4 linked regions of the Drosophila melanogaster genome follow. The protein of the gene in region 3 interacts with the protein of the main gene of each other region in a pairwise test. Each region holds a gene or a part of one and is shown on either strand. Other genes may lie near its edges.

The links.
Region 1: the proteins of ari-2 (region 3) and Hakai interact in a two-hybrid assay, tested with the Drosophila melanogaster proteins (one large-scale study listed by BioGRID).
Region 2: the proteins of ari-2 (region 3) and Nmt interact in a two-hybrid assay, tested with the Drosophila melanogaster proteins (one large-scale study listed by BioGRID).
Region 4: the proteins of ari-2 (region 3) and MsrA interact in a two-hybrid assay, tested with the Drosophila melanogaster proteins (one large-scale study listed by BioGRID).

The regions. Positions count from the first base shown.
Region 1 is NT_033779.5:19,580,070-19,584,468, forward strand, and holds Hakai (hakai), read right to left. Parts: upstream 2,406-4,399; 5' UTR 2,302-2,405; coding exon 1,938-2,301; intron 1,835-1,937; coding exon 1,287-1,834; coding exon of another isoform or gene 1,263-1,286; exon of another isoform or gene 1,217-1,262; coding exon 707-1,216; 3' UTR 543-706; downstream 1-542. Other genes in the region: Pmvk (phosphomevalonate kinase), read right to left, coding at 1-61; PCNA2 (proliferating cell nuclear antigen 2), read right to left, coding at 2,957-3,616, 3,751-3,858; CG10366 (uncharacterized protein), read left to right, coding at 4,277-4,399.
Region 2 is NT_037436.4:8,175,608-8,180,296, forward strand, and holds Nmt (N-myristoyl transferase), read right to left. Parts: upstream 2,823-4,689; 5' UTR 2,721-2,822; coding exon 2,516-2,720; intron 2,033-2,515; coding exon 819-2,032; 3' UTR 528-818; downstream 1-527. Other genes in the region: RecQ4 helicase, read right to left, coding at 1-94, 148-249; mthl7 (methuselah-like 7), read right to left, coding at 3,069-3,267, 3,331-3,505, 3,570-3,821, 3,883-4,059, 4,235-4,689. UniProt on the Drosophila melanogaster protein: Adds a myristoyl group (tetradecanoyl group) to the N-terminal glycine residue of certain cellular proteins. Such protein modification are critical for the developmental processes that involve cell shape changes and movement.
Region 3 is NT_033778.4:22,211,116-22,217,805, forward strand, and holds ari-2 (ariadne 2), read left to right. Parts: upstream 1-1,719; 5' UTR 1,720-2,325; coding exon 2,326-2,404; intron 2,405-3,766; coding exon 3,767-5,070; intron 5,071-5,130; coding exon 5,131-5,277; 3' UTR 5,278-6,149; downstream 6,150-6,690. Other genes in the region: CG11291 (uncharacterized protein), read left to right, coding at 326-1,068, 1,123-1,306; CG30278 (uncharacterized protein), read right to left, coding at 6,403-6,690.
Region 4 is NT_037436.4:15,509,464-15,513,753, reverse strand, and holds MsrA (methionine sulfoxide reductase A), read right to left. Parts: upstream 2,703-4,290; 5' UTR 2,636-2,702; coding exon 2,585-2,635; intron 2,192-2,584; exon of another isoform or gene 2,152-2,191; coding exon of another isoform or gene 2,122-2,151; intron 1,866-2,121; exon of another isoform or gene 1,720-1,865; coding exon of another isoform or gene 1,672-1,719; intron 1,583-1,671; coding exon 1,389-1,582; coding exon of another isoform or gene 1,385-1,388; exon of another isoform or gene 1,279-1,384; coding exon 1,018-1,278; intron 959-1,017; coding exon 724-958; coding exon of another isoform or gene 679-723; 3' UTR 552-678; downstream 1-551. Other genes in the region: gdl (gonadal), read right to left, coding at 3,006-3,149, 3,523-3,817, 3,873-4,018; gdl-ORF39, read right to left, coding at 4,086-4,205. UniProt on the Drosophila melanogaster protein: Has an important function as a repair enzyme for proteins that have been inactivated by oxidation. Catalyzes the reduction of methionine sulfoxide in proteins to methionine. Does not catalyze the reverse reaction involving the oxidation of methionine residues.

The sequences.
Region 1 (4,399 bases), on a different chromosome or scaffold from region 3:
TCTCGGATATGTAATCCTTGCCGCACTTTCGCTTGCCGCTGATGAGTACAATTTTCATCATTTTTCTGGCGCAACTTTCACTTTTGCTCGCCAACTTCTTTCACAACCGCTGCTTCTCCTGCTGCTTCTGCTTGTGGCCTCGATTTCCTAAGTTCTACGCTGTGCTCATCAGATACTGGATGTGGTTGTGTTCACCCTGGGCCCTGCCACTTGACTCCGGCACTGCGGCCTGTTGTGTTTATGCTAATGCTCCATTCGAAGTCTGTGCTCCAAGTCGCATTTGTTTACCTTTTGTATTTCGCTGGAACAGCAACCAGCTGGAGCGTATCGTCATCGATAGGCGGCCAATCGAGCGGGCTTTTTGAATTTCATTCAGCTCGAGTGGAAACCGTACCGTCATCGATTGGCCGCCAATCGGGCGGGATTTTTGAATTTCGTTCAGCTTGAGAACCGCAAAGGTATTCATAAAATTGTTATCCTGATTTGTTCGCCACGATAACCACTTCACTACTACATTAAGAATTAAGTTTAGCCCAAGCTTTAAAACCGGAGTAGCATTTATTTTTTGGTTCGGGTTGGCCTAACCCCGTAAAATATCTTTAATAGTGTTCAGTTCAGCTTAACATACACTTGTTCACTTAATTAAAAGCCTGCGTGCCTGCGTTAAAGCGTCTACCCTGGTTACTAGCCCCTCGCTTTCGTCCCCCTATCTGTAGTATTGCGACTGCTGCCAGTTGCCACTCGAGCCACCAGTTGGCGCGTCGGTGGAGCCTCCAATCAGGGCACCTGGGCCAACAGCGGAATGGCTGCCACTCGGATTGGCGGGCTGTGCTGCTGCTGTTGCCCCACCGCCGGGTGGCCCAGAACCCGGATTCCCGGCCGCACTGCCAAAGGAGGCGAGCACGCTGCTGTAGTAGGAGGCATCCGCCACCGACTCGGACTGGTGGGGCGTGCCCTTCTTGAGCGTGTGGTGCAGCGAGGCCTTGCCCTGGTGACATTCCTGCGCATTGGCATTGTTGATCCTGGTCAAATTGGCCAGCGTGAGCGTCGAGTGGCCGCCGTGGATGGCGTTTTGGGCGGCGGCGGCGGATCCTGGTGGCGGTATACTACCAATACTACCGATGTTACCGACACCGCCGGTCAGTGGCAGCCGCGACAGGACGGGACGGGACGCAATGGAGGCGGAAACGGATATGGGGACAGACGACTCGGAGAGCTGCAAGGGGCAAGCGGTTGTTTTTTTATAGACAGGACAGCTTAGTTTAGGAGCCATAGCTACCACTCGCCTTGCGCTGCTTGTGCAACTCCAGGCCCAGACCGACGCCGCCCAGATCCGTCATTTTTGGCTGCTCCGCCATGGCTGACAGCTGCGGCTGTGGCTGCAACGGTGGCGGCTGCGGCGCCACATGTCTGTGATTGATGTGCGCCTGCAGGTCGCGTTGCGAAAGGTATGTTCTACGGCAGCCGGAGCTGCCGTAGCGACTGCCGCCGTGCGTGCACATGAACACGGTGCCCAGGCCACTCTGCTCCACGCGCAACACCTTGTCCGTGCAGCGGGGACAACTCTTGATGGGCTCGGCGCGGGCGCACTTGAGGCAAAATACATGCTTGCAGGGTATCATGCGGCCGTAGACGAGGATCGGCTTGTCGCACTGATCGCAGCAGTGGATCATCGGGTTCAGCACCTTCTCGCCGATCAGGCTCACCTTGTGGTTCCACTTAAGGCGCAGCATCGGCTCCGGCGGTCCGCGCGAAAGCGTGGTGAAAGTGGGCGCCTCCAGTTGCGATATGTCCGCCTCCATGTCGACTGCGCGGGCGAGAGATAGCGAGATAGCTTTGTTCAATGCTTCAAGTTTGGATACCAAGGAATTGGTCAAGCCAAGATGTTAATCAATTTAACTATCTTGGACAACCATTCAATAGGGGAGGAGACTCACTTGTTTGGCTCATCACGGGCGGTGGCACTTGCTGCAGGACCTGTGGCTGTTGCGTCGCTGGAGTCATGTTCCCGCTGGCGGCGACCGCTCCTAGCGCACCGTGCGGCAGGGGCTCCTCCAGAGCGCCGGGCGTTTCCAGTTCGCCGTCCTTGTCGAGCTCCTGCATGACCGAATCTTCGGAGGCGTCCAGTCTTCCCGGACTGTCCTCCAGGGCTGCACAGCTGCTGGCCGCCAGGGCTGCGGCGTCGGCGATGCTGCTGTCGTCGATTTTCTTGCCACGACCGCGTCCTCGGCCACGTCCGCGCCCGCGAGCCCTGGTGCCACGCCCTCGTCCGCGGCCGCGCTTCACTTCCTCGGTGTCCATTGTTCACTTGTACTTGCGTGGGATTTTATGCCGGTTTTTAAGTTTTTCGGTTTTTGTTTAGCTCCGCATTTGCGTTTGGCCAGGGTTGTCAGCTGTTCCCACATACGTGCAGTAACTTAGGGTGACCAGTCTGCGCCTAACAACACTGGCCATCAAAAGGTCCGGCATCACTGGTCAGTTTAAAATACAATATTTTTACTTGTTTAATTTTAATTTTATCTGTTTTTCAATTATTTTTAAACTAATTTGAATTTAATGAATGTAAAAAAAAACATAAAAAAAAACAATAATTATAAGCATCTATTTAACCGTTCTTGTATCATATTAATAGCTTACTAATTTCTTTTGTAGCTTCAACATGAAAAAACAAAAGTATTCTGAATAGAAAATGTGAGATCTACATTAAGATAACCTTAAAAACTTAATAATAATTAATAACAAGGTTTAAAATTAGTTTTTTCGTATATAAATTTGAATTTGTAAAATGTTTTTTTAATTACAATTAAATAGTTTTTATTACAAGTTATATTTTTATACTATGCTTTAAAAAAAATGATTTTTGGTATTTGTTGCCTAAAAATATCGTTTATCCCCTTTCCTTATGCTTTAAATTGCGCTCGAATTTATGCAATAACTGAGTTGAGTAGTTCTTCAGCTAGAAATCGGGGTCATTCACCTTGGGTGCAAGGTAGTATCGAATGTGGCCGTAATCCTCGATGGGATACTCCACCAGGAGTGGCCGCTCGTCGGACAGGTAGAGCTTGACGCGATCTGCCAGCGGAGTGGCCTTGGTGAAGGTGTTGAGGTAGCGACCGGCGAAGGACTGGGTCACGGGCTCCTGCACCTCAATGCTCACGTCCATGGCGGTGCCCGCACTCAGCTGAATGTTGGCCGTGCCCAGATCTCCCTTGGCCAAGAACCTGATGCCCTTCGAGGAGCAGGCGATCGTCAGGGACTCGTCGAACATGCTCATGTCCCGGCAAATGCGCGCGAACTCTGACGACGGCAACTGGATGAAGCAGGTGTAGTCCTTTTTCGGAATCTCCATGTGATCCTGGTCCAGATTGAGGAGCTTCAGCTCGTAGTCCGCCGTGCGCTCCTTGCCATCCGACTCGAAGCTGAGCGTAATCTTCTCCGGTCTGTCAACGGCCTTAATGGTGACCGCATCGTCGCTATTGGCGCACTTAAGCACCTTGCCCAGGGATTTCAGATCCAAGCCCAGCGAGACATTGCGATCGCAGTGAAACTTTTCAAAACAATCCGAAGCCAGACTTAGGGCCACCAGCGAAACGTGGGAGTTGTCCATCGATTGCAGCTGGAATATAGAGTTGTAAAAGCTTTATTTCTTATCTCAACTTTTCATTTTCAGTCCCAAGTCTCAATGGAACTACTTAACAGCTTTTATGGGAATTCGAAACAAAATGACAGATGGAGGGTTATTCTCTTCACCTCCAGACCATTTTCACTGCAGTCCAGCGTTCCCTGGGCGATGATTTCCTTTAGTGCATCGACGATCTTCTTCAGCAGCAAAGTCTGACTCAAACGCGCCTCGAGCATTTTTCCAATTTTCAAAATTGACAATCGCTGTCCCGTTAAATTCACAATTGGAAACAAACAAAATGAAGCCAGTCAGCTGTTTCGCTGCAAGTGTAGAGATGCCGGACTGCTGCGGAGTTAAGAACAAAGCTTGTTAGATTAGTTTCGGTTGCGGATTTAAGTTCATTTGATGTCTGATGATGAAGCTAGTGAACATAGATCTTAGAATTTGACTTAAAGCTGTAGGTTAATCCTTTTCTATTTAAGGGTATCCAATTGAAATCACTTAATCCGACTGATCTGGCAGCATCTGCAACACTGGTTCCGGCTCCAGTTCTAGTTCGAGATCCAGTTCCAGCTCGGATCCAGCCATCCAATCCAATATGTTTACGCTTTATTTATTTATTTGTTTATTTATAACCAACTGCTGAGCTCCCCGATGGCCGCCGCGCAGGTGGAGATGCACGCTGCTCCGGCGGCTCCCCATGTCGATCGAAATCCCAGCAGCGACTGGCGACAGTGGTGTCGCCTGTGCGCCAAGGACGACGTGCAAGGCAACTTG
Region 2 (4,689 bases), on a different chromosome or scaffold from region 3:
CATCGTTCAGCGTCTCTTCCAGGAAGGATGTCTTCAGTTTGTAGTACATTTTGTATGAGTCCCGAATCTCCTGACTGGCGTCCCTTATATCATACTGCAACAGGTCAACCAGTTAGCATACTTGTCATATCCGCATCCCAATCTCACCTTCGATGGAACACGGCCATTCTTCTTCTTGAAGTCCTTCTCCCACACCTTGACGCGCAACTTGTACTTTTGGTATTTTAGCTTGAACACCGAATCGTCCATGTCGGCGGCTGTCTTTAATTGTCAATATTATGAGGAAACCAACATTGGAATCAGATTTCGTTAACTAATAAACCAACACAAGTGCAGCTGTTTTGCTTAGCGCGCGCTTTTTCACCGACCTTGCCAGACCAATGGCCATGTGACAGAGTGGCCAGACTATCACATGCTGGGACAGTGGGCAAAAATACAATAATCTGCTTAAAAAAAATAAAAACTTGTCATCTTTAAAAGAGCAGCAAAATAATTTATTGTCAATTATAGGCAATAAAGGTCCAAGTAAACGTTACATTTTTATTGATATTGCTGCGCATTTTATACAATTTGTGTTCGTTCTTGTAGTAAAAAATATCGAAGCTTGGCCGTTGCAAAATGCAATTTTCACAATGATGCTATTTAGGTGTATGCTCGCAAAGGGCTTTCCTCGCTGGAATAACTGAAGATTACAGGTAATAGCTACGTAAATAGGAGCAAAGCAAAGCAGCCGCACGGCACTTCCAGCAGGGTGAAGAAAGCGGAGGAGGGGAGCTGTGAAAGGCAGGGCGAGAATGTGAGCTTAGGTGACAAGGTGACTACATGAGTATCAGAGCAATCTCCTCCGGCTGCATCGATGGACAGCGCCAATTGTAGAGGTAGTACTGCAGGTTTCCATCCCCGGCGCCGAATTTTAGCGGTGCAAAGTACTTCTTGTTCTCCATGAGGTCGAGGGCATTGTACACGTCCATCTGGACATTGCGGGCCGAGATCAGTGCATCGTTCATCAGGTCCAGCCACGGGGTCTTTGTAGACACATTATAGAACGAATATGCGGCACGAACCGTCTTATGCACCGGATGGTGCATCACGGACGATGGCAGGCAGTAGTAGCTAGTCAGATCAGTGATGTTGCCCTTTTCGTCGGCAACCACGAAGCAATCGATAATACCTTCTTTGGGGGTAAACCAATGACGAAACTCTTCCTTGCTGAACACCGGGCTCAGCTGAAAGCGCTTTAGGTAGTCCTCCAGCAGCTTGTGGGCCTTGTCCATGTCCTTCGCTGTGATTCGGCGATAGCCCTTCGTCTTGGGCTGATCGGGTAGCTTGTACAGCTTCATTGTCCGCTGCATGGTCATGTTACGTGCGAGATGAGAGAAACGCACGTCTACCAGCTTCTTGGGATTGAGCGATCGATGCCAATAGCGACAGGTGGCCACTGGCGTGGGCAACACAACTCCAGCTGTATAGGCCGCCTGGAAAATCCCCGTCAGATTGACGCGACGCGTTATCTCCCGAATCAGGACTGGAGCCACCCGTTTGCTGCGCAACTTCTTGTGGACGCATAGGAAGTTGATGTCCACAACCTTTAGCACCTTGTCGTACGACTTCAGCTTGCTGGGAATGGCTGAGATGAAGCCAACCAGTTTGCCGGACTTCTCCACACGAACGCCAACATGCCAATCGCGTTTCCAGCCAGGTGGCTGCAGCGACCACTTTAGAAACTCGGGTTGGTAATCGAAACGGAACATGGCATCATCGTCCTCCACATAGTTCTCATTGAGCAGCGTGTACAGCTCCTTGAGATCATTGGCGTCGTTCAGGTCTAGTGTCACCCATTTGAAGCCGCCTGGCAGAGTGTATGGCAATGCTCTAATCTCACTAATTTCCTTGTTCGGTTCAATGCATTCGTTGGTGGTCACCTGCTCGTCCAGCTTGGTGACTGGCTGTGTGGACCAAAATGCAAACTTCTTGGCCATCTGACGGGTGCTGGCCATAGCATCGGAAACGGCTTGTAGCAAGGCCTGTTTGCCTGAAAGAAACGATGATGCGTTGAATAGTATTATAACATTTTTCGATTAGTTTAAACTGGAATGACTAATCTGCCCCAAAAAAAGCTTAAGGCATCACGACAGTGGACTAGTTTCCCATGACAACAAATTTGCCCAATTTTGGGGTTTCAATGAAGCATCAATCAATGGAATCAACAAGGTAGAAATCTTATATTACACATATTTTATTCGTAATAAAAAACTCAATTGTATCTATGTAAGTATATTCATATTTCATCAAAATCAAATATGTATTTATGATTTATGAGTTGTTTATTTTTCCGTTAGGGCTAATCTTTGGAGTAATTGCACAGAAAATGAAAATTGAAAATTGAATTGAAATGAATAGCACAGCAGTTCAAGTTAGAGAGGTTGGACTGTAGTTCCCGACAAAACCTAACCTCATTTTTTCAGCCGCAGGAGGAGCCTCTAAATGACTTTTCACAGGCATATTGAAAACTTACTTGCATTCGCAGACACTGAAGCCTCATTCTTGGCACCATCAGGCTGCTCCGCATCCTCGTTTCCTGCTGCATTCGTCGATGCCGTGTCCTGGATATTTAAGCCGGCAACAACCTTTTCGAGCATTGCCTCCGATGCGTCGGCCACCTCCTTGGCCTTCTGCTTTAGCTCTTGACCCGAGAGGTCCTCTGCGTTTTCGTTCGGCATATTTTGCACTGTATTTCTTTTTGAACAGTAAAGCAAATTAAAATTGCAATGAAATCGCAAAACTACAAGCAGAGCAGCTGATTTTTTTGGCGATACCTATCGATGTTTTTTAAAGAATCGAAAGTGGCTGGAGAATCAGTGTTACCAGAGGGTGGCGAAGTGAAAAGCTTGTCGCGGTGACCTCTTGGCAGTTTAAAGTACATCGTTTTCTAAAACTATATTTATTTATTGAGTTCAATAAAATTCAATTCAATTCCTTCGTTCAGCAAAGGATATTAATAAAATGAGGGGCTTTAATTGTTTAAAGCTTTAATTGTAAACAATTATTAGAATTATATAGAAACAAGCTTAAGAATCCATCATTAGAGTCCATGTGCTGCGCTTCAGGACGAGCAGAACGAACAAAACAATTCCAAACGCGCTGTGAAAATACTCGGATATTATCCCGACCCATTCCCAGAAAATGTGGAGCCGTGCAGAATACGGAATGACATTGAATATCCAAGTAAGGCCCATCACGATGGAGAGCCGCAGGAACTGTAGGTAACTATGTGGATAATACGGCAAGGATAACTAGTTTACCAAGGTCCAAGGTTTTATCATATCTTACGTCTGGCTGTCAAAGTTTATGCAGTTAATCCTTCCCTCCTCCTCATTTGTGAACTTATTTATACCCCCCTTCACTTTCCTAATGTAAATGGCTGTCAGGGCGAACATGGCGACATTGAAAGTGCTCAGGGCCAGCGACGGTCCACTTATATAGATCCAGACGGATGGGTGCCAATCTGATATGGAAAAGCAATACGTAACCATGGTAACGATTTAAAAGCAATCGCATTGAAAGTTTACCTTTGACCGAGCACCGAATAAAACCGACCAGAGGCAACCAGTTCCATTTACTGGGATCGTTTTCCCAAATCTGATTAACTATATAAATACTTCCCGTCATGATTGCGGCTGTGCTCCAGACGAAGGCGTTGTACCGCAGGAACCGATAGTTAGGGTCGACTCGATTGAGCGACGTCAAGACTTTCCACGTATGGTAGCTGATGACGGAGAGCCAGAGGTTGGAAGCCATCCGGAAAAAGTGCGAGCTGTAACCTGCAAGAAGTCAACGATATAACATTTAAAGCTTCCAGAGATATCTCCAATTCGAACTAACCAGCTGGAGAGCAAATGCCATTCAATAGATTTAAATGATCTAGTATCATGATCAAGCACTGGATAAACCTCGAAACTATACAGCATACAATGCACTTGCCAGTAACATTTCGCAGCTTCTTAATGTATAGATATACTGCGATTGTTAGGACAAAGCATATCATTGTTATAATTAGAACTGAAAAAGAAAATATAAGAAATAAAAAACCAGCTTATTGTAATTAAAAAACTTGCAAAGGGCACACAGAATGCAGTCAGCAGTTTGCACACCAATAAGGAGTTATTTTCGTTTCTTTCTATATAGCTATGAAAACGATATTGATGACTTTTGTTATAAATAATAATTGAATTACTCTCTAAGGATCCAGGAGATATGTGGCTTGTGCAGCGGTGTCGTATTATCCACATGGACTTTGGAAAATCCGAATCAAAGTTGTGCCGGTACAAGCAGTAGTCCTGTTTTTCCATGAAGAGGTCAACGGTAACCCAAAATTTTCCATCCTGGAACCAAACTATAAGTCCACATTTATTGAAGATTTGAATGCTAACCTCTTCTAAGAAATAGTTAAAGTCGCTGATGTAAATCATTTCATCACAATCAAAGAACTCATCTCTGATAATAGCCATATCGGTGAGTGGTACTCGTGCCTGTAGGTCCATGTATGTGAAGTATATATAGGGTTTGAACCGGGCGAGCTCCTCTTTGAGACCATCATCGCATTTTCCGTTGGCCAAAAAGTTCTTGGCTGGGCAGCAGATTCGAATACAGGGCCGCACGCTGCAAACACAGGCCCTTAAATGCTTTTCA
Region 3 (6,690 bases):
CATTTCAGTCACGTTTGGGGTTATAAAGATCTTTAAGAGTATTATGATCCTAATCTTAGTAGAACGTGTAGCTAACTTATCACAGCATTTTTGCGCTTTCACTCTGGGTGGTATTTTCGACAGCATCTCGTGGCCGAAGATTTTATTAGAAAGAAAACATTTTTATATAGTATCACTTTACTTTTGCCAAATAAACTTTTTCGTATTCCTTGCTATTTTATGATACTCTTATATGGCAATATGAAATTTTTAATCTTTGAAAATAATGTCATAAAGTACTCAAAATTTTAATATTTCACATTCTAAATTTAATCAAAATTGTATTATGTTAAGGCGCAGTCTAAGCCATCTGGACAAGCTGCCGAAGGCAAAGGTGGCCGAATGGCTGGCCGGGATCGACACCATTATTTGCAGCACGGATGGGGTGCTGTGGCAGGAGAATACCCCCATTGAGGGCTCTGTAGAGGCATTCAATGCCATAATTTCAAAGGGAAAGCGATGTCTCATAGCCACCAACGAGTGCTGCCTAACAAACAAGGATCTGTTCCAGAAGGCCAAGTGCCTGGGCTTCAATGTCAAGGAGCAGGACATTTTCAGCTCGTCGGGTGCCATTGCGAGTTACCTTAGCGACCGGAAGTTTAAGAAGAAAATCCTCGTTTTGGGTGGTGACGGTATCCGCAAAGATCTGAAAGAGGCCGGATTCTGTTCCGTGGTAAACGATCTGCAGCCAAATGACCAGAAAAAAATCGACTTCGTCAGGAGCTTAGTTCTCGATCCGGATGTGGGAGCTGTTTTGGTGGCCAGAGACGACAACATGATAGCGAACGAGTTGCTTGTGGCCTGCAACTATCTTCAAAATCCCAAAGTCTTGTTCCTTACCACTTGCATTGATGGATTCCAGCCATTTGGGAAAAAGAGGATCCCAGATGCCGGATCTCTGGCCTCTGCCATCGAGATAATTGTACAACGCAAGCCTATCGTTTTGGGCAAACCGAATCAGCGGATTTTGGGCAAGTTGATGAAGTCTGGCGAAATAAAGCCCGAAAAGACGCTTGTCATTGGAAACTCGTAAGTTCAATGATTACTTTTATTGAGGATCATACTTTATCCTCTTTCCTTTAGGCTTAAATCAGACATTTTATTTGCAAGTATATGTGGTTTCCAATCATTATTGGTGGGCTGCGATAACGGAGCGATCGAAAAAGCCGAGAAAATTAAAAAAGAGGGAGATGAGAAGAAAATGAAACTTGTTCCAGATGCTTTTCTCTCCGGTCTTGCTTCTTTTGGGGAGTATTTATGCATCTAGGTGATGTCGGGCAAGAAAAGCGATTTCCATATCCAAAAAACATACCCAGCTGACCAAAAAGTAATTTAGATCATATTCAAAATTCAAACTAAGCCGCTCAAAAGCTGAACAGCTGTTTTGTTTCTGAGCACTCCTGTGTGCTAAATGATTTCGGTATTTTGGCTTTTAGCACAAGTCGCGAGTCAGTGCTACCAGTATATTTGTAAATTTTTAGTTTTAAAATTTGTAATCTAAAATAGTAAAGCAAATTGCCAGTTTTCTGTTGAAACTAATAGTTTTGCATCAATAATCGCGAAGAAAAAGTTGAATTAATGTGATAATAAAAAAATACATGTTGTTGGTATATTTTTGGTATTTGATTTGATTGCTTCGTGGTCGCACTGAAAGAAGAAGAGTAATAAAACATCGAACTATCGAAGAACGATATGCCCCGATAGGTTCGGACAAGACAAAGAACAAAATGTTCTCTGCAAAAGCTGTGCTCGCTTAAAAACGCAAAAAGTCAGTGCATCTAGTGCATTGTCAGTGGTGCATAAGATTGTTCTATAAATAGCGAAAAATGAAAATAAACTGCAGGCGAAGTAGAAAAAACACCTTGAGTTGAGTGCAACGGCTGTGCGAGTGTGTGTGCGTGAGAGCGAGAGTGCGCTCGTGTGTGTGTGTACACATGCATGTTGATAAACGAAAATAAAACAAGGGACCGCCCCCCGCCGTAGAATAGCCACCCCGCAAAGTTCATCACCCTAACCAGAATCGGTGGCACTGCATCGCGCTAAATCGGCCACTTTCCATTATCCGCATCCACCGCCCCTCCCGCTCTCTGGGTCCATCATCCACCTCCTGCGAAAACAACAACAGCAACCACCAGCGCCCTTACAACAACTGTTACAAAAGAGCAAGAGAGAAGACACCCCGCACTCACACTCACACGGAAGCAGTGAGTGTCCTCGCCAGAAACTCGAATTCCCAACCAAACATCCCGAATCTGAGGCCCAAATCTTAAGCGCCAATCCGCCGGAATGGACTCGGACATCGAAATGGATATGGAATCGGACAACGACGGGGAGTACGACGACGACTACGACTACTACAACACAGGTAAGTGGAAACTAGTACCTGATCTAGAGGGGCACTTCCCCCTGACAACAATCGGCCATCGATTTAACTGTGGCCAAATTAGGGGTACGAGTGTATCTGTGAGGAAGTACACACACACATGTCGGGCTCTTGGTTTGGTTATTCACCTTTTCGGAAGGAGGCCCGCAAGACCTGGGAATTTGCATTCAGCACTTGACATTCGCCTTGGGTTCCATGACCAAACCCCACACCCCCCATTTGATCTCCGCCCTTCTTCGCTGACCATGAAGCTTAAATTATGGAATTGAACTTGAAACAAACACACACGCACGTAGCTGCACGGCGAGAAAATTGCACTGTGTAATAGGATAAATGTTTAGTTTTAAAATGTCAAATCTAGGCCAAACTAAATGATTACATTTGGTACATTTCCCAAAGCAATTCTAATGATGATTTGATACCTCAATTTAGAGAATTATGTGATAGGGCTTGATTTTCAAATGGTTTTATAACATGAACTCAAATCAATATTGATTTAAAAGGGGCAAAATAATATAAGAATATTACTAAAGACTTGATTTCTCTCAGTGCATGGGCAAGTACAATTGGTAGTTGCGAGTTGGGACTGATTGCGAGGCTTGTGTTTTGTGGCTGGCTTCATTATTGCCCGCCACTCTGCTCACGCTCTTCGTAGCTCCACAACCCACACAAGCACACATTAACACACACACCACGAACACCAGCTCAGGTGCGTGCTCAAGTACGCAGTTGCATTCTGTTGTGTGCCGCTGTTCCGTCAACTCGGTCTCCGCTTCTTGACCTGTCCCTTATTGTTCCGACCTGGCCAAGACGCCCCCTAACTCAACCTTCAATCGGATACCTCATATCGGTAACATCGTAACGTCGAGCACTTCTATGGCAGCCTTGTCGCGCGGTTGTTTTCTCGAATTAGCCAATGTGACTAACAAAATGCAAACATGATTACCGGCTGCATACACTGTAATCCCTTTTGATCCATACATGTCAGATTAACATAGAAGATATTCCCAAAGTAATAATGTTTCGTCGGTTTCAACCGATCAATGTAAGTCAGCCATTGCTTAACTTACAAACTCAACTCAACCTTCGTAACTCTGGAACCAGTTTTGTACAATAAGGGATTAAAAGTGCCCTATTGTATATAACTGCAACTGCTAACTCAGGGTTCGTTTGAAATCCACCCTTGCTGTCTTTCAGTCTGATTTTGGTTTAAAATACAATCAGTTAGCTTAAATAACCAAAAGAAAAAGTGGAAACTGTCCTATCAAAGCATAATAGATTTATGATTTATAAATGTTATAAAGTTCAATTATATTATAATACTAATATCCTTTTCTTCTTCAGGCGAGGACTGCGATGTGGAGCGTCTGGATCCGAAGCGGGCCGACCCGGAGTACTTTGAGTACGAGTGCCTAACCGTCGAGGACATCGAGAAGCTGCTGAACGAGCGCGTGGAGAAGCTGAACACCATCCTGCAGATCACACCCTCGCTGGCCAAGGTGCTGCTGCTGGAGCACCAGTGGAACAATGTGGCCGTCGTTGAAAAGTACCGCCAGGACGCCAATGCACTGCTGGTGACGGCGCGAATCAAGCCGCCATCGGTGGCAGTGACGGATACGGCTTCGACGAGTGCAGCGGCGGCCAGTGCCCAACTGCTCCGACTGGGGAGCAGCGGGTACAAGACGACGGCATCGGCGACACCACAGTACCGCAGCCAGATGTGTCCCGTTTGTGCCAGCTCGCAGCTGGGCGACAAGTTCTACAGCCTGGCGTGTGGGCACTCGTTTTGCAAGGACTGCTGGACCATATACTTCGAGACGCAGATCTTCCAGGGAATCTCCACGCAGATCGGCTGCATGGCCCAGATGTGTAATGTTAGGGTGCCCGAGGACTTGGTGCTGACGCTGGTCACGCGACCCGTTATGCGGGACAAGTACCAGCAGTTTGCATTTAAGGACTACGTCAAGTCACACCCGGAACTCCGCTTCTGTCCCGGGCCCAACTGCCAGATTATTGTGCAATCATCGGAGATCTCCGCCAAACGTGCCATTTGCAAGGCTTGCCACACGGGCTTCTGCTTCCGGTGCGGCATGGACTACCACGCACCCACCGACTGCCAGGTGATCAAGAAGTGGCTGACCAAGTGCGCCGACGACAGCGAAACGGCAAACTACATCAGCGCCCACACCAAAGACTGCCCCAAGTGTCACATCTGCATTGAGAAGAACGGCGGCTGCAACCACATGCAGTGCTTCAACTGCAAGCACGACTTCTGCTGGATGTGCTTGGGCGACTGGAAGACGCACGGCTCCGAGTACTACGAGTGCTCTCGCTACAAGGACAACCCCAACATTGCCAACGAGTCGGTGCACGTGCAGGCGCGCGAGGCGCTGAAGAAGTACCTGCACTACTACGAGCGCTGGGAGAACCACTCCAAGTCTCTGAAACTCGAGCAACAGACGATCGACCGGCTGCGCCAGCGGATCAACTCGAAGGTGATGAACGGCAGCGGCACCTGGATCGACTGGCAATACCTCTTCAACGCGGCGGCACTGCTGGCCAAGTGTCGATACACGCTGCAGTACACCTATCCGTACGCCTATTACATGGAGGCCGGTTCGCGAAAGAATCTCTTTGAGTACCAGCAGGTGAGTCGCAGTTCGGCTATTCTTTAACTGGTTGCCCAATAATGTATTAATTCCGTGCAGGCACAACTGGAGGCCGAAATCGAGAATCTGTCGTGGAAGATAGAGCGCGCCGAGACAACGGACCTGGGTGATCTCGAGAATCAAATGGACATCGCTGAAAAGCGCCGCACCACGCTACTGAAAGACTTCTTCCCAGTGGACGCATAGGCAACCGTCGAGCTTCCAGGGCCACCAGAACGGACAGCCTGTCTTGTTTAGCACAAACACTCTTTGATTGACTGCTGACAGGTCGACGTGACGCGACAGTATAGAGACGCTTATTTAAATTAAATTATACACATATTTACATGTATCCATCTAGTAGTAGGCCCAACGACGTGTAGCTAATTTTTAAATTAAACTAATAATCAAGTGCATATAGACTAGAAAACGTAGCATAGAGCATAGTCGACTACTCGAAGTATAATTACTATAGTTGTGACATTCGAAATCACTCAAAATGATCGGTGTAACTGCAATACAACGCCTTGCGCAGAACGTTAACGATATACAGTATCTATAGCTAAAGCCCTAGCGATACCGATACCGGTAGCTATACCATAACTATAAAACTAACTTTAAATCTAGCAACTGACTAACTGACAAACCAGACGCATTTCAGTGGCCAAGTGTTCCAACAGTTTTCCAAAAACTAGCCCAAACGACCCGATGAAATGCAGAAACAGTAACAATTCTAAATGTATAGCGCCGCAAGTCAAGCAATTATAGATCAAAGACCGCCTAAGCAGATCGGCTCATCGGTTAGACCCTAAGTTTTAAACCTTGTATTAGCCCCGCGTGAACAGCATCAAGTATTCGCAATCTGTATCTCGTAACTAATCGCAGCACATCAATCGAACGCAAAAGTCTTAAGTAAGAACGAAGATAGATACTCCCCGTCCCCGATCCCGTTCCTTTTGATTCTCACTCGATTCTCGATTAACTTTGTAAGCTGAATCATAAATTATATTCTAGGATTACGCTATGTATGTATGCTTATGCGACTGAATTTGAATTAAATTTACACTAGATATACAACTATTCAACTGACTTTTCGACTGTGGGCTGCAAGCTTACGATTTGGGTCTTGTGCTTAAAGCTTTGGAGAAGCTCATACGAAGCTTGGATTGAGTGTTTTAAGGATAAGCTTTCACTCAAGTTTCAAGTTTGGGTTTTGAGCCGAGTTTATTTTTTTTAGTGATTGAGTACGAGCTATATTCCAACTTATCTTCCTTGATTTCGTTGTTATTCAGATTGGATGTGCTTAGTTAGTCTTCGATGATGTTTTTGCTATTATTTTTTACCCTTTTTATTGCCGAACAGTGAACTCTTTCTGCTGCTCTTCCGGCTCTTTCGGCTCTTCCGGCTCTTCCTGCTCATCCGACTCATCCTAACATCAGGCGCCAAAGGTGGTTTCTGCTTCGCAAGTTGGCTGGCTAAGGTGAACAACCGGCACTCGGAATGCTCCTTCAGCAGACTGTTGGCGAACTTCTTGACTCCCGATATCTTGGTCACCCTCACGTTGTTCATATTTTCCACTTTCTTGGCGGGATAGACCTCCACTTCGCAGCAGTTCTTGAT
Region 4 (4,290 bases), on a different chromosome or scaffold from region 3:
AACGTCTTGAGGTCAGTCACTTTACTGTCCTTGGTTAGATAAATTTATTGGCATGCCATTTTGGCAAAGTATAACTTACGTAAGATGATACGCTTTCATAAATATTTTATAAAAAAAAAACAAACTCTCGTGGAAAATAATTTAATTATATAAAATATAATACTGTATAGTAAAAACCGAATTTCAGCAGAATTTCGTTCAGATCTTGACAGCAATGCAAACTCATTAAAGTTAAACAAACAGATGAGCCAGCGAATTTGTTATCGGGTGTTTATGGCTGATAAGACAGGATCCTGGACAGGAACTTAATATGACTTGCAAGCTGTTTATCACGCCAGATTGTTCAGTTGGTTATCATGTTGTTTTCGCGCATGAGGAGGATGAAGTCGATTATTACTGCTGGCTATTAGCACGTATCTGCAGATATTTTATCGTTCAGATGCAAGCCAAAATTAAGTTCGTTGCCTTTGTGGCGAAACAATACTAATAATACCCTGGAAAGGCAGTGCTACAAATAAGATTCCAAATCAAAAACCAAAAACATTAACTTTAGTTTGAGATATTTTTTTTTATTATAATAATAAAATATATGCGTTTCATATATATTTCATACGTTTCTAAGTCTACGTAATACACAATCTGTTTTTGAACAAGCAAACTATCCATAAAATTACCCCCCTAGGTGTACGATCTACGCTTAACGTCTATGCAGATTCGGCCATGTCAGCAGTAGAGACCCTGGCCCTCGTTCTGCTCCACGTGGTAGTAGCAGTACTGCCGCTGGGTGGGCGTCAGACCCATGGTCTCCGCCTCCGCCTTAAACTGCTCGATGCCGCCGACTCCGGCCAGGTAGCCATTCAGTTTGGTGGCCACATAGCTGGTCTGCAGCAGTTTGGGGCTGAGATTTAGCGATGAGGCGAGATCCTTGTGGCCCTGCAACCTATACTTCTGGTGGTACCTATGAACAAACAAGGAAATTCATATCAACGCACTCAGATTTTCTTAGTTAAAACTTACGCCTCGGCTGGGTAAAAGTTCTCCTTGGATGCAATCTCAGTGGTTATGATCTCCGGTGCACGGCGCTCTTGCTCCTCCAATTTGGAGGCGTGTGCCACCTGCTTCTGCTCCTCATCGTGGTACAGAATCAAGGAGGCGTACTGCCTCTTGATGGGCGTGGTCAGGCCATACTCATGGTTGTTCCAGAACAGATCCAGCAGCTCCTTAAAGCTAATGACCGTGGGATCATAGTCGATTTCCAGCACCTCCGTATGATCGCCCCTGTTGAGATTGGTGGTTAGTACCGGATCCGAAAGGATTATGGGATGCAACATGTAGGGACGTGAAAGGAAGACATATGGATGATTAATGCTCTCAACTTGCTCCCTTACATTTTACGGTACGTTGGCAAATCCGAGCTGCCTCCGGCGTAGCCCACGGTGGTTCTCAAAACTCCACGGGTGGCTCCATACAGGGATTCTGCGCCCCAAAAGCAACCCATGCCGAAAGTGGCCGTGGCTTTGGTGACATTCACATCGTGAACCGGCGAAATGTTCAGTTCCTTTTGTTCATTGCGAACGGTGCTCTGGAAGAAGAAGAAGAAGAAGAAAGGGGAGTATGAGCAACAGATTTCTAAAATTTGAAATATTAGATTTATTCGTATTGAGCGCACACCAAAAACAGAAACGTAAGGCCGTAACCATAGCCCGGCAAACAGCGCATTTTAAGCACAAAATTTTATATGTATATAATAAATGCAATATTCGGCAGGTTTTAAGTTTTTTAAGTATTTTCTTTGGGGCTTTGTTCGCGTCTGATGTCGTCAGCAAAATAATAATGCACTTTGTGCGCTCATTTTAAACTCTCTCTCGCGCTCTTTTCGGTTTTCGCTCTGTTCGCCTTGCACTTGCAGCTGTCGAACAGCTGATTGAAAATACTATCTCTCTCGCACACACTATTGCAAAATCAATTTCAAAATCAAGGTCAATGGAAAAACTGATTTAAAGAAAGTAAAAGTCGTTGGCTAACAGCGCTTCACTTCGCACAGCAAACAACTAAATTAATCCTAGCTTAAATCACTTTTAAAACCATTTAAATATGCGGTTTTAGGTGAGCAAAACTCGCCTTGAAATTACGAAACAGTCGCGAAAACATTATTATGTGTAAACTGCTCAACTGTTGGGAAGCAACTGAACCTGGCCAAAACAAACCGAATTCCTCTAGCCAACAAAAAGGTGCTCACATGAGCTTTAATTATTCTGAACATTAGATGTCGGAAACTGGCTTTTATGACTAAGCACATCAAAGTTTTGGCCACCCGGCCTTGGGGGTTCAAGAAACTTTAAGACTCTTCACAAATTACTTATGTCTTGTACATCAAATAATTTAATTGCATATATTTGTTTATTTATATTTGTACACTGTTTAAAGGTGTATTAAAGTCACGATTCGGCAAAAAAAAATTTAAAATATATTTCATTAGCTATCATAGCATTTTTTAATTTACATTTAAGCTCGAATTAAACCGCAGGACATTTGAAATCACTAGTCACAGGATTAGGCACCAATCACTAGACCAATTACTTACCAGATCCTTGAGCTCAGGATGAGTGACACTGGAAGTAATAGTCAGAGACATGATTTCACTAGTTAAAATTGTTATTTATTTAATGTGTCGCTTTTAACATTTAAAGCTGAACTGATGCATCTGCAGAAAGGTCGGTCCAATTTATACTGCCGCCTCTCCCGCTTTCTACGCGAATGTGGAGAGTGCCGCGCTATCGTTATCAATTCTCCCGCTCTTCAGTCTTCTGGCGGCCGGCCCCGTCTCTTTCTCCCTCTCCCGATTCTACGCTGATTAAAACTGCGCAGCGCTACAGGTTTCTTGGGGCCACAATTGATCGTACAGCTGGGACATTTGATCAGGGTTATAATTTAATTGCCTTTAATATTCTAATTTGAACAAGTCAAGTGCAGTCTTTTGTGTTCTCCGGATTGTGGACTAACTGTTATTTGCCGGGCTCGTATTTTAGCCGGCTCAAACGCAAAATGAAGTCCAACAGGAACATTTGTATTTTTATCTCCTTGGGATTCTCGGTGACATAGAAGCCGGGAACGCCGGCCTTTTGAAGTGTGGATTGTTGGTCATTAACCTGCGTAATGATATTAGATATTAGTTCAACATCAAGAAAAAACAAAGAAAGTTAAAGTAGTAAAATCTAATTTCGTATTCCCATATAAGCATTTAAAGTTATGATTAGAAATAATTTGTATTACAAAAGAAAATATCTTTAGTGATAATTTCATTTCAATTATAAGAATCTGCAGATAAATATATACCTAAAATATACCTAATCTATAGATCCATCCATAATCAAACTATGTATCATATTTGAATTTAATTTTAAATAGGATTAGGATTATCTAAGTTTGAGATTCGACTATTGTTTTTAAAGAAATTTGGATGGTAAGACCAACTAAAAGTGCGTGGAATGGAACGACTCAAAAGGATATTGAATTCTTCACCTTTTGATCTAGTATTTCGATAATCTTCGTATCCGACTCGTGTAGTTTCTTAGTGTGCTTTATTTTCATGAGTCCCAAAATGTGGCGCAACTCCTCGGGATCCTTGATCTTGCTCCTCCACTCGGCCACTTCTATTTCATACTCGTTCTCCGCCTGCATCCGTATTTTAATTAAGTGTCTTTCGGTTTCGTGTTGCAGCTCCATTAATGCTTTTACTATTACAAAAATGCCATCGTTTAGCACACAATTGGCGAGTTCGGTGAGTAGATCGTAGGAAATGCGTGTCTGCAAGTTTCTGTTAATCAAAAATGGCGTTAAATATTTAAATAAACTAAATATCAAGGACTTACTCGGGAAGTTCCGAATGGTAAGTTCGCAATTGGTCCACCAAAAAATAGATTTTGCGTTGTAAAAACTCCGGAGTTGGCTGCTGATACTCCACTACTGCCTCACTAGTGTTCGCACTACCTTCGCTGGTTGCCGGTATGTCCGCCATCTTAACTAAATTGTGATTTCCTATTTATTTACAATAATTTGTGTAATATTCCCAAGTATTTGTGTTTTTAGTGATGTTTTGTGCAACCGCACTCCAATTTCGCCTCTTCGCCGCACGAACAGCTGAGCGCCAGGGCTGCAAACTGCAGCAGCAGCAGTGTGACCACAATCAGTTTGGCTGCCCACATAACGGTAAGTCAGAGAAAGACGCGGAAAGTAAAATGTTTCAAAAGTATTTATATATATTTTTGTTGTATCAGAGCGTGAAAAGAA